2 linked regions of the Macaca mulatta genome follow. The protein of the gene in region 2 purifies or fractionates together with the protein of the main gene of each other region. This does not show direct contact. Links are inferred from orthologs where the notes say so. Each region holds a gene or a part of one and is shown on either strand. Other genes may lie near its edges.

Evidence for each region.
Region 1: the proteins of POLR2E (region 2) and INTS6 purify together in Homo sapiens (affinity purification with mass spectrometry; 3 studies listed by BioGRID and IntAct, with this or other methods). This does not show direct contact. The link is inferred for Macaca mulatta from reciprocal best matches to the Homo sapiens genes POLR2E and INTS6.

What each region holds. Positions count from the first base shown.
Region 1 is NC_133422.1:30,689,576-30,693,319, reverse strand, and holds the start of INTS6 (integrator complex subunit 6), read left to right. Parts: upstream 1-1,182; 5' UTR 1,183-1,694; coding exon 1,695-1,805; exon of another isoform or gene 1,806-1,999; intron 2,000-2,172; coding exon 2,173-2,250; intron 2,251-3,054; coding exon 3,055-3,204; intron 3,205-3,744. UniProt on the Homo sapiens protein: Component of the integrator complex, a multiprotein complex that terminates RNA polymerase II (Pol II) transcription in the promoter-proximal region of genes.
Region 2 is NC_133424.1:1,752,981-1,756,724, forward strand, and holds the start of POLR2E (DNA-directed RNA polymerases I, II, and III subunit RPABC1), read right to left. Parts: upstream 2,693-3,744; 5' UTR 2,648-2,692; coding exon 2,591-2,647; intron 1,390-2,590; coding exon 1,215-1,389; intron 1-1,214. UniProt on the Homo sapiens protein: DNA-dependent RNA polymerase catalyzes the transcription of DNA into RNA using the four ribonucleoside triphosphates as substrates.

The DNA of each region.
Region 1 (3,744 bases), on a different chromosome or scaffold from region 2:
AACTGTTTTCCTCGGACATGCAGGCGTGGACTCCTTACTTCAGGTAAGGTGACAGCAGCTTGACAGAGAATGCCTTCCCTCCCACGGCATTTGGGACGAGACTGAAGGAAAGACACAGGCGGGGTTACGGGAAACCCATGCTCTGCGCCATCTGGACAAGCTGAAGTCAGTGTTTCCGCTTTCACACGAGGTAATGGATTATGATGGGCTCAGGTCCCCTTTAGCTCTGAAACAGGTATTCTATGGCTCTAGGTAAACACGGCATGAGACAGGTATTTCTCTGGTAGGATCAGTTGTATTTCCCAGAGAATAAAACGGGCAACAAACCATTTATCGATATGTGAATGGTCCCCTAGGCCCTATTTGGGGCTGGATAAAGAAAAAGAAGGTTTGCTTCCTTTTTGGCGGGTCCTCCAACGACAGAGTTCATGGCCCGCTGCGCGTCCAACTTCCACCTCTCGTCGCTCACCGGAGGACGAGCGAGGCTCTGGGCGAGGACAGCCCCTCAACCGCACTCCCCAGAGGGAGCGCTGTGACTCGCGGAGATTAGTCCCCGGTCATAAACAACCTCTCACTTCCCCTCCCCCGCGCCCGCCCGCGCCGGGGCGGCCCTACGAGGCCCAGGAACCTCCTCCAGCGCCCGCGAGGCCCCGAGTCCTCCTCGGAAGGGCGGCTGCGGACCTGTCCTCTTCTCCTAACCAGGTGTTTGTCCACTTTACTCAGCCCTTCTTACTCGTCCACAATACAGCCACCTCAGAGGGGGCGCTGACGCCAGCCCCTTTTTTCCTTCTGTCGACCCCAATCACCTCCAACAGCCAGAGGCCGGCGGCCCTGACGCGCAGGCTCACCGCCGCGGCCGGCGCGCGCGCGGACGCGTCCCCCGCCCCCACCTCGCGGATCTTCCGCGGTTCGGCCCCGCCCCTTCCCGAAGCCCGCCTCCGGGTCGGCCCGCCCGCCCGCTCGCGCGCACCCGACGCCCCGCCTCCGCGCGTGCTCAATAACTGTCCCCGGAGCCGGCCTGCAAGCTTCCCCCGCCCCTGAGCTGTTTAAATATGCTAATGAGAGGGCAGGGACTAGCCAATAGAACGGCGAGGCGATGTATCACGTGGCTCGGGGACGTGTCAGGGGCGGAGCCTCCGCAGCCCCTGCCCGAGTTAAAATCGGAGTGTGAGAGAGAAAAGCGCTTCAGTAGCGAGAGGGGCTGAGAAAGTGGTGACACTGCCGGGGTGCGGAGGGAGTCCCTGAAACTTCTCCCAACAGCCCCAGGGCCAATCTCCCCTCAGCCCACTCCCCTCTTCGCCAGCTCCCAGGTCCCCACTCCCTGTACCGGGGGTGGGGTGGGGAGCCAGGCCCGTCTCCCGCTGGGACACACACAGGGGCCGGGAGCGGGGACGGGACCCCCGAGGCGGGGGGGACGGACCGACAGACAGACGGCTGGGCGCCCGCCCCAGCGGGCAGGCAGGCAGGAGGAGGCGGAGGCGGGGGTACGACGGGGAGGACTGGGTCTGGGGAGTTTCCTCTCAACTATCGGGGGAGAAACTCCCCGCAGCCGGAGGAAAGACCCAGACGGTGTTTTCCTCCCGGGGGCCGCGCACCCCCGCCCCGCGTAGCGGCGGTCGCCGCCACCGGCGCCTCCACCTCTACCATCTCCTCTTTCTCCACCACCTCGGGCCCCGGTGTCCCTGGCCAGCACTATGCCCATCTTACTGTTCCTGATAGACACGTCTGCCTCTATGAACCAGCGCAGCCATCTGGGCACCACCTACCTGGACACGGCCAAAGGCGCGGTAGAGACCTTCATGAAGGTACCGACTGACCGAGTCCGGGCGGCGACCCCGGCCCGGCGGCCCGCGGGAGGCAGGGTGGGGGAGGGCAGCCAGGGCGGGGGTGTCGGGGACCTGACTGCGGGAGCTGCCGGGCTCGGGGACCCCCTCCCCCACCGCGCGGGCGGGCGGGCGGGCGGGCGCTGCGAGCCGGGCTCGGCCGGGGCCCGGATTCCGGCCCCGGGCGGTGTGTGGGGAGCGATCTGTGTGTTGGGGGCGGCGTGGAGGGGTGGCCGCTGCGTGTGCGGTACTGTGGGGGCGGCGGGGCAGCTGGGCGCCCCTTCTCCGCCTCGTAACCTCGCCTCTGTGCTTCCCTCTCGCCCGCCCTGTTCCTCTTCCCGTCCCGCAGCTCCGTGCCCGGGACCCTGCCAGCAGAGGAGACAGGTATATGCTGGTCACTTTCGAAGAGCCGCCCTATGCTATCAAGGTAACAGCCCTCGCCCTCCCCCTTTCCTCTCTTCCCTTCCCTGTTCCTTCCTCGCTCGCCCTCCCCGCCCCCCCATTCACCCTTCATTATGCTCCCCTCCCCCACCCGCTGCGCTCCCAGCCGCTGAGGTCTCTTCCCTGCGGGCTCCCACCCCCTCCCCCGCTCGGCAGCGTCCTAGCGCGGCGCGGAGTCGCGGGGCCACCGCCGTCCCCTCCCGGCCCGGCCCGGCCCGGCGGCTGCGGCGGCGGCGGCGGCGCTGCGATCAACATGGCCGACATTTCCCCTCCGCGGCGTGAGCGGCAGCAATGAACTGTGGGGGATATTTATTCAAGTTAGCCGGAGTGACAGCCGGGCCCGGCCGCGCACAGCCCCGGTTTGCATTAAAGGGGAATCGGTCCGGCCGGCACGGGAGCCAAATACGGGGCTGCCAGGATTGGTCTTGTCAAATTCGTCCTAAGAGGGCCGGTGGGACAGCTGCAGGTTAACTTCCTAAGTCTGGCTCCCGTCTGCTTCCACTAGTACGTTCACATATCCACATTTTGGGTATTAGATTAGGTAGTAAATTTGTCAGTGAAGTTATAAAGTATTAAGGTTGTTAACTACCAAAACCTAGAGAGGAAGCAGGTTTATTCCTGGGCCACCTTTGGAGGAGAGTTTCCTCAGCAGTGGTACAGTATTAACACGTTAACCAAGCCAAACCAACCAAAAGTGAAGCTGCTACTTGGTGACTGTCAGATTATAACCGCTGTGTGTACATGGCTTTAAAAAATGAAAAAAAAAAAAATCTTACATTTTTCTTTTCAGGCTGGATGGAAAGAAAACCATGCAACGTTTATGAATGAACTGAAAAACCTTCAGGCTGAAGGACTTACGACTCTTGGCCAATCCCTAAGGACAGCTTTTGATTTATTAAATTTAAATAGATTAGTAACTGGCATAGACAACTATGGGCAGGTAGGTTGAATAATAAGGTGGCAAAATAGTTGATTTTTCATTTTGTGGAAACACAGTCCAATCCAAAAACTACATAACATGAAATGCACGTATAAAACATTCCAGATTAAAATAGAATATGCACATTGTTCAAAGGCAAAACTCTTACCCTACTATATATATTTTATGTCCCTCATTTTTTCCCCTTTTAAAATACATTTGTATTCAGGATTAGAATCTGAATCTTTTGCTAAAAATTTGACATACATTGATTTTAATCCCTTGAAAGTTCACTAAAGACCTAAAAGGGAAAGCGTCCTATCTCACCACACTCAAGTTGTGTGTGCAACTATTGTAGTGACTTACAGACACTAGTTAGTGGTCTTCATTTCTATATTAGTAAAGATGTTAGAGGAAATTAATCTGTTTGTTGCATCAGGGTTTAATGTGATCATGCTGTATAACTATTCTGAAAGGTAAGAAGATTTTCACTGGAATACAGTCACTGGCTGAGAACATTAAGTTTTCTCCTTTTGAAGCATACACAGTTAACTATTGCAG
Region 2 (3,744 bases):
CTAACCTGGGCGACAGAGCGAGATTCCGTCTCAAAAAACCAAATAAACACTACTAAAAAAAGTAAAAGTAGCCAGGTGAGATGGTGTATGCCTGTAAACCTAGCTTTTTGTGGGAGGCTGAGGTGGGAGGATTGCTTCAACCCAGGAGGTGGAGGTTGCAGTGAGCCGAGATTGCGCCACTGCACTCCAGCCTGGGTGACAGAGAGAGAGACTCAGCCTCAAAAAAAAAAGAAGACCGGGCGCAGTGGCTCACGCCTGTAATCCCAGCACTTTGGGAGGCCGAGGCAGGCAGATCACCTGAAGTCAGGAGTTTGAAAGCAGCCTGGCCAACATGGTGAAACCCCATCTCGACCAAAAATACAAAAAAAAAAAAAAATAGCCAGGTATGGTGGTGGGTGCCTGCAGTCTCAGCTACTCAGGAAGCTGAGGCAGGAGAATTTTGAACTCAGGAGGTGGAGGCTGCAGCGAGCCGAAATGGCACCACTGCACCACCTGGGTGACAGAATGAGACTTTCAAAAAAAAAAAAGCAGTAGCATCACCCGGTTGGCAGACACGCTCCGTCCACCCCACTGATTAATTCTGGGCACGCGGCTGTGTCCCTAGGCGCTGGTAGTCCCCCAACCACTGAGGGCGCTAGAGCCATCCTGGGGGGGGGCAGACAGGTGGGGAGACTTCCACGGTCCAGGTGCTGAAACCGAGGGTCCCAGGGGTCCCGGGAAAAGCGGCCTGAGCACAACCTCGAGGGATGAGTAGCGGACGCTGACAAGGCAGAGGCGGCATGGGGTGCAGAGGAATGGGCTGGGGCAGACAGGGGCCACAGCTCACAAGGAGGCTGCGCTGACCCACACGGGGCCTCCTGGGCCAGGCCAAGAAGCTGGAAGTGCACCCAACGGCCAGGATGGGGGAGCCAAGGAACACAGGTAGGGCAAAGGTCATGAGGGGCTGCGGGTGAGTAGGGAGGTCCATGGGACTCTCCTGGTTGGCAGGAAGAAAGGGGACCGATGAGAGGGAAACCAGAAAGAGGCTGCGCATGAGAGGGGTCAGAGGTCCACGGCATCGCCCACAGCAAGGAAGAGGAGGGGAAGTTTTCCTCCCAGATTGGGCAGAGGATCAAACGCTGGGCACGAGGCGGGAGGGGGTGGGTGCTAGCGGCCGGCTCCTCAGCAGGTGCTCGGGCGGCTCCACCAGAACTCCCCCGGGACCCGCTGCTCACCTGGAAAGAACACAAACATCTGGTCGGTGGGGTCATCGTTGTGGGCCACCAGCACCGTGAGGTCAGTGCGCCGCGGCCGCCCCTCACTCGGCTTGTCTCCAAATTGGGCTTTGAACTCCTCCAGTGTCTGGTCAAGCTCGTCCTGGGTCACTAGGTAGCCACGGTCGTGGCACAGCTGCAGAGAGAAAGAACCAGCTGACCCCAGGGCAGAGACAGGAAGGCGGCCAGAGCTCGTGACCCAGAAGTCAGACCTGCGGCTGCTGCAGAGGACAGAGGTGAACAGCAAACGGAATGAACACTCGCTGTGTGCCCCATGACAGCCATCCTGGCCCCCACAGCCCCACACCACAGGATGGGACCAGCGTGATCCCGAGAGGCTCGCAGAGGTGTCCAGCCTTGACCAAGACCGTCCGTCTATCCAGCCTCACAGGAACCTGGCAGGGGGCAAAGCCCTCCAAACCACTTTGCAGAGCTACCCTAAAGACAGGGACAAAGACGGGGCGTGGGGGGTCACGTCCACGACCCCAGAGCTCAGGGAGGCCGAGGCAGGAGGGCTGCTTGAGGCCAGGAGTTCAAGGATGCAGTGAGCTATGACTGCACCACTGCGCTGCAGCCTGGGCGACAGAGTGAGAGCTTGTCTCTTAAAAAAAAAAAAAAAAAAAAAAAAAAAAAAAAGACAGGGACCGAAACAAATGTGACTTCAGGCTGACAATGTTTGCGGCCCGGAGGAAGGAGAATCAGGCTGCGGGGGGCTTCGCTAAAGACAAGGGCATAGGGGGTGGGGAAGCAAGACAAAACAAAAGCTCCCAAACGGCCCCAACGGCTGAGGGAGGACCCTGAACCGCAGGCCCTCAGACCTTTGCCCAGTTTCCAAACCGGAGTCGGCCCAGTGGCCTCCATCTGTCTCAGACCCCGAGGCACGGGTTCCGGGCTCCACGTCCCCATCGAAAGCCCCAGCTCGCCTGCTGCTTCCCAACCACCAACTCCGCCAGCCTCGGATGCTGAGACGCCCTGGGGTTCAGGACGCAAGGACAAATGGCGACGCTGAATCACAGAGAGGGGCAGGGTCTGGGGGCGCCCCCCGTCCCCATTCGCACCTTCCTCCTCTCGCCGCCATGTGCGCCGCACCAGCCCAAGCCGCCCGCCCACCGCTAAGCCCCGCACCCAGACGTCTCGAAACCCCCTCCCTTCCCCGCTGCCGGCTCAGGTCGGGCCCAGCGCCTGGGATCCCCGGCGGCCTCGGGGCCTCCCGTGTCGGCCGGGCCCTCCGTCGCTGCTGCTGCGACGGGAGTACGAGGAGACGCCGAGCTCGACCTCGCCTCGGGCCCCTGCACCTGCTGCTCGCGCCCCCGCCCCCAACACCACGCGCGGCTCACCTGCATGATGGTCTTGCGGATTTTCCAGAGCCGGTACGTCTCCTCCTCGTCGTCCATCGCCGCCACTCGCACCCGTTTTGCCTGCGAGAACCCGCGCGGACTGCGCCTGCGCCGACTCCCAATCAGGCCCCCTCCACGTAACCCCGCCCCGCGATGGGCTGTCGTCGGCGAACGCCTGAATGCAGCAACTTCCGGGATCGGCAGCGCCAAGGGCAGCCCGAGCCTTGCGAGAACGGCAGTTTGCTGCGCGAGACTCTCCCTCCGTAGTTCTCGTGTGTCTTTGGCTGCACGGCCTCTTGGGAGTTGTAGTTTCCGTTCAACTCCCACGTTGCGGCGACAGTTTAGAATCCCATGAGGCGGGGGCGAAGTGTGGGCGGGGAAACTGAGGCCTGGAATGGGTCAAGGGGCAGCTCGGCTCCTAGGGACGGTCGGGGAGCCTAGTGGGAACTCTTTAAATATTTGTGCATCAAACTGTACAGGGTTTCCTCTGTTGGCTCCAGGCCAGGTCAGGGTTAATGCCCTTGGGCCTCAGTTTCCCTACCTGTGCAATGGCAAAAAGTGTCCCTACTTTAGGCGGTTAACTGAGAGTCTTAGGTAGAGCTAGGCATATCTCTAGGTGCTTTTTAAGTCCCTTCACCTCTGTCCTCTCCCCTGAGTGCCAGCCTAGCCTGGGTATCTCCCCACCCCAGATCCGTCCTGTCTTTGCAAACCTCACCTCCCCAGATTCACGGAGGATCCCAGCCCAGCACTCGCTGTGTGAAGGCAATCAGTCACTGACTCAGTGATGCATTCATTAATTCAGCATTTACTCAGCAACCTACAGTGATGGTGAATAAAAACAGGCCAGGTATCCCTTGCATTCAGAGACAGGATTTAGTAAAATAACGTTACTGGGCGCAGTGGCTCATGCCTGTAATCCGAGCACTTTGGGAGGCTGAGGTGGGCAGATCACGAGATCAGGAGATCGAGACCATCCTGGCTAACACGGTGAAACCCCATCTCTACTAAAAATACAAAAAATTAGCTGGGCCAGGTGCCCGTAGTCTCAGCTACTCGGGAGGCTGACGCAGGAGAATGGCGTGAACCCGGGAGGCGGAGCTTGCAGTGAGCCGAGATCCGGCCACTGCACTCCAGCCTGGGCCGCAGAGCGAGAC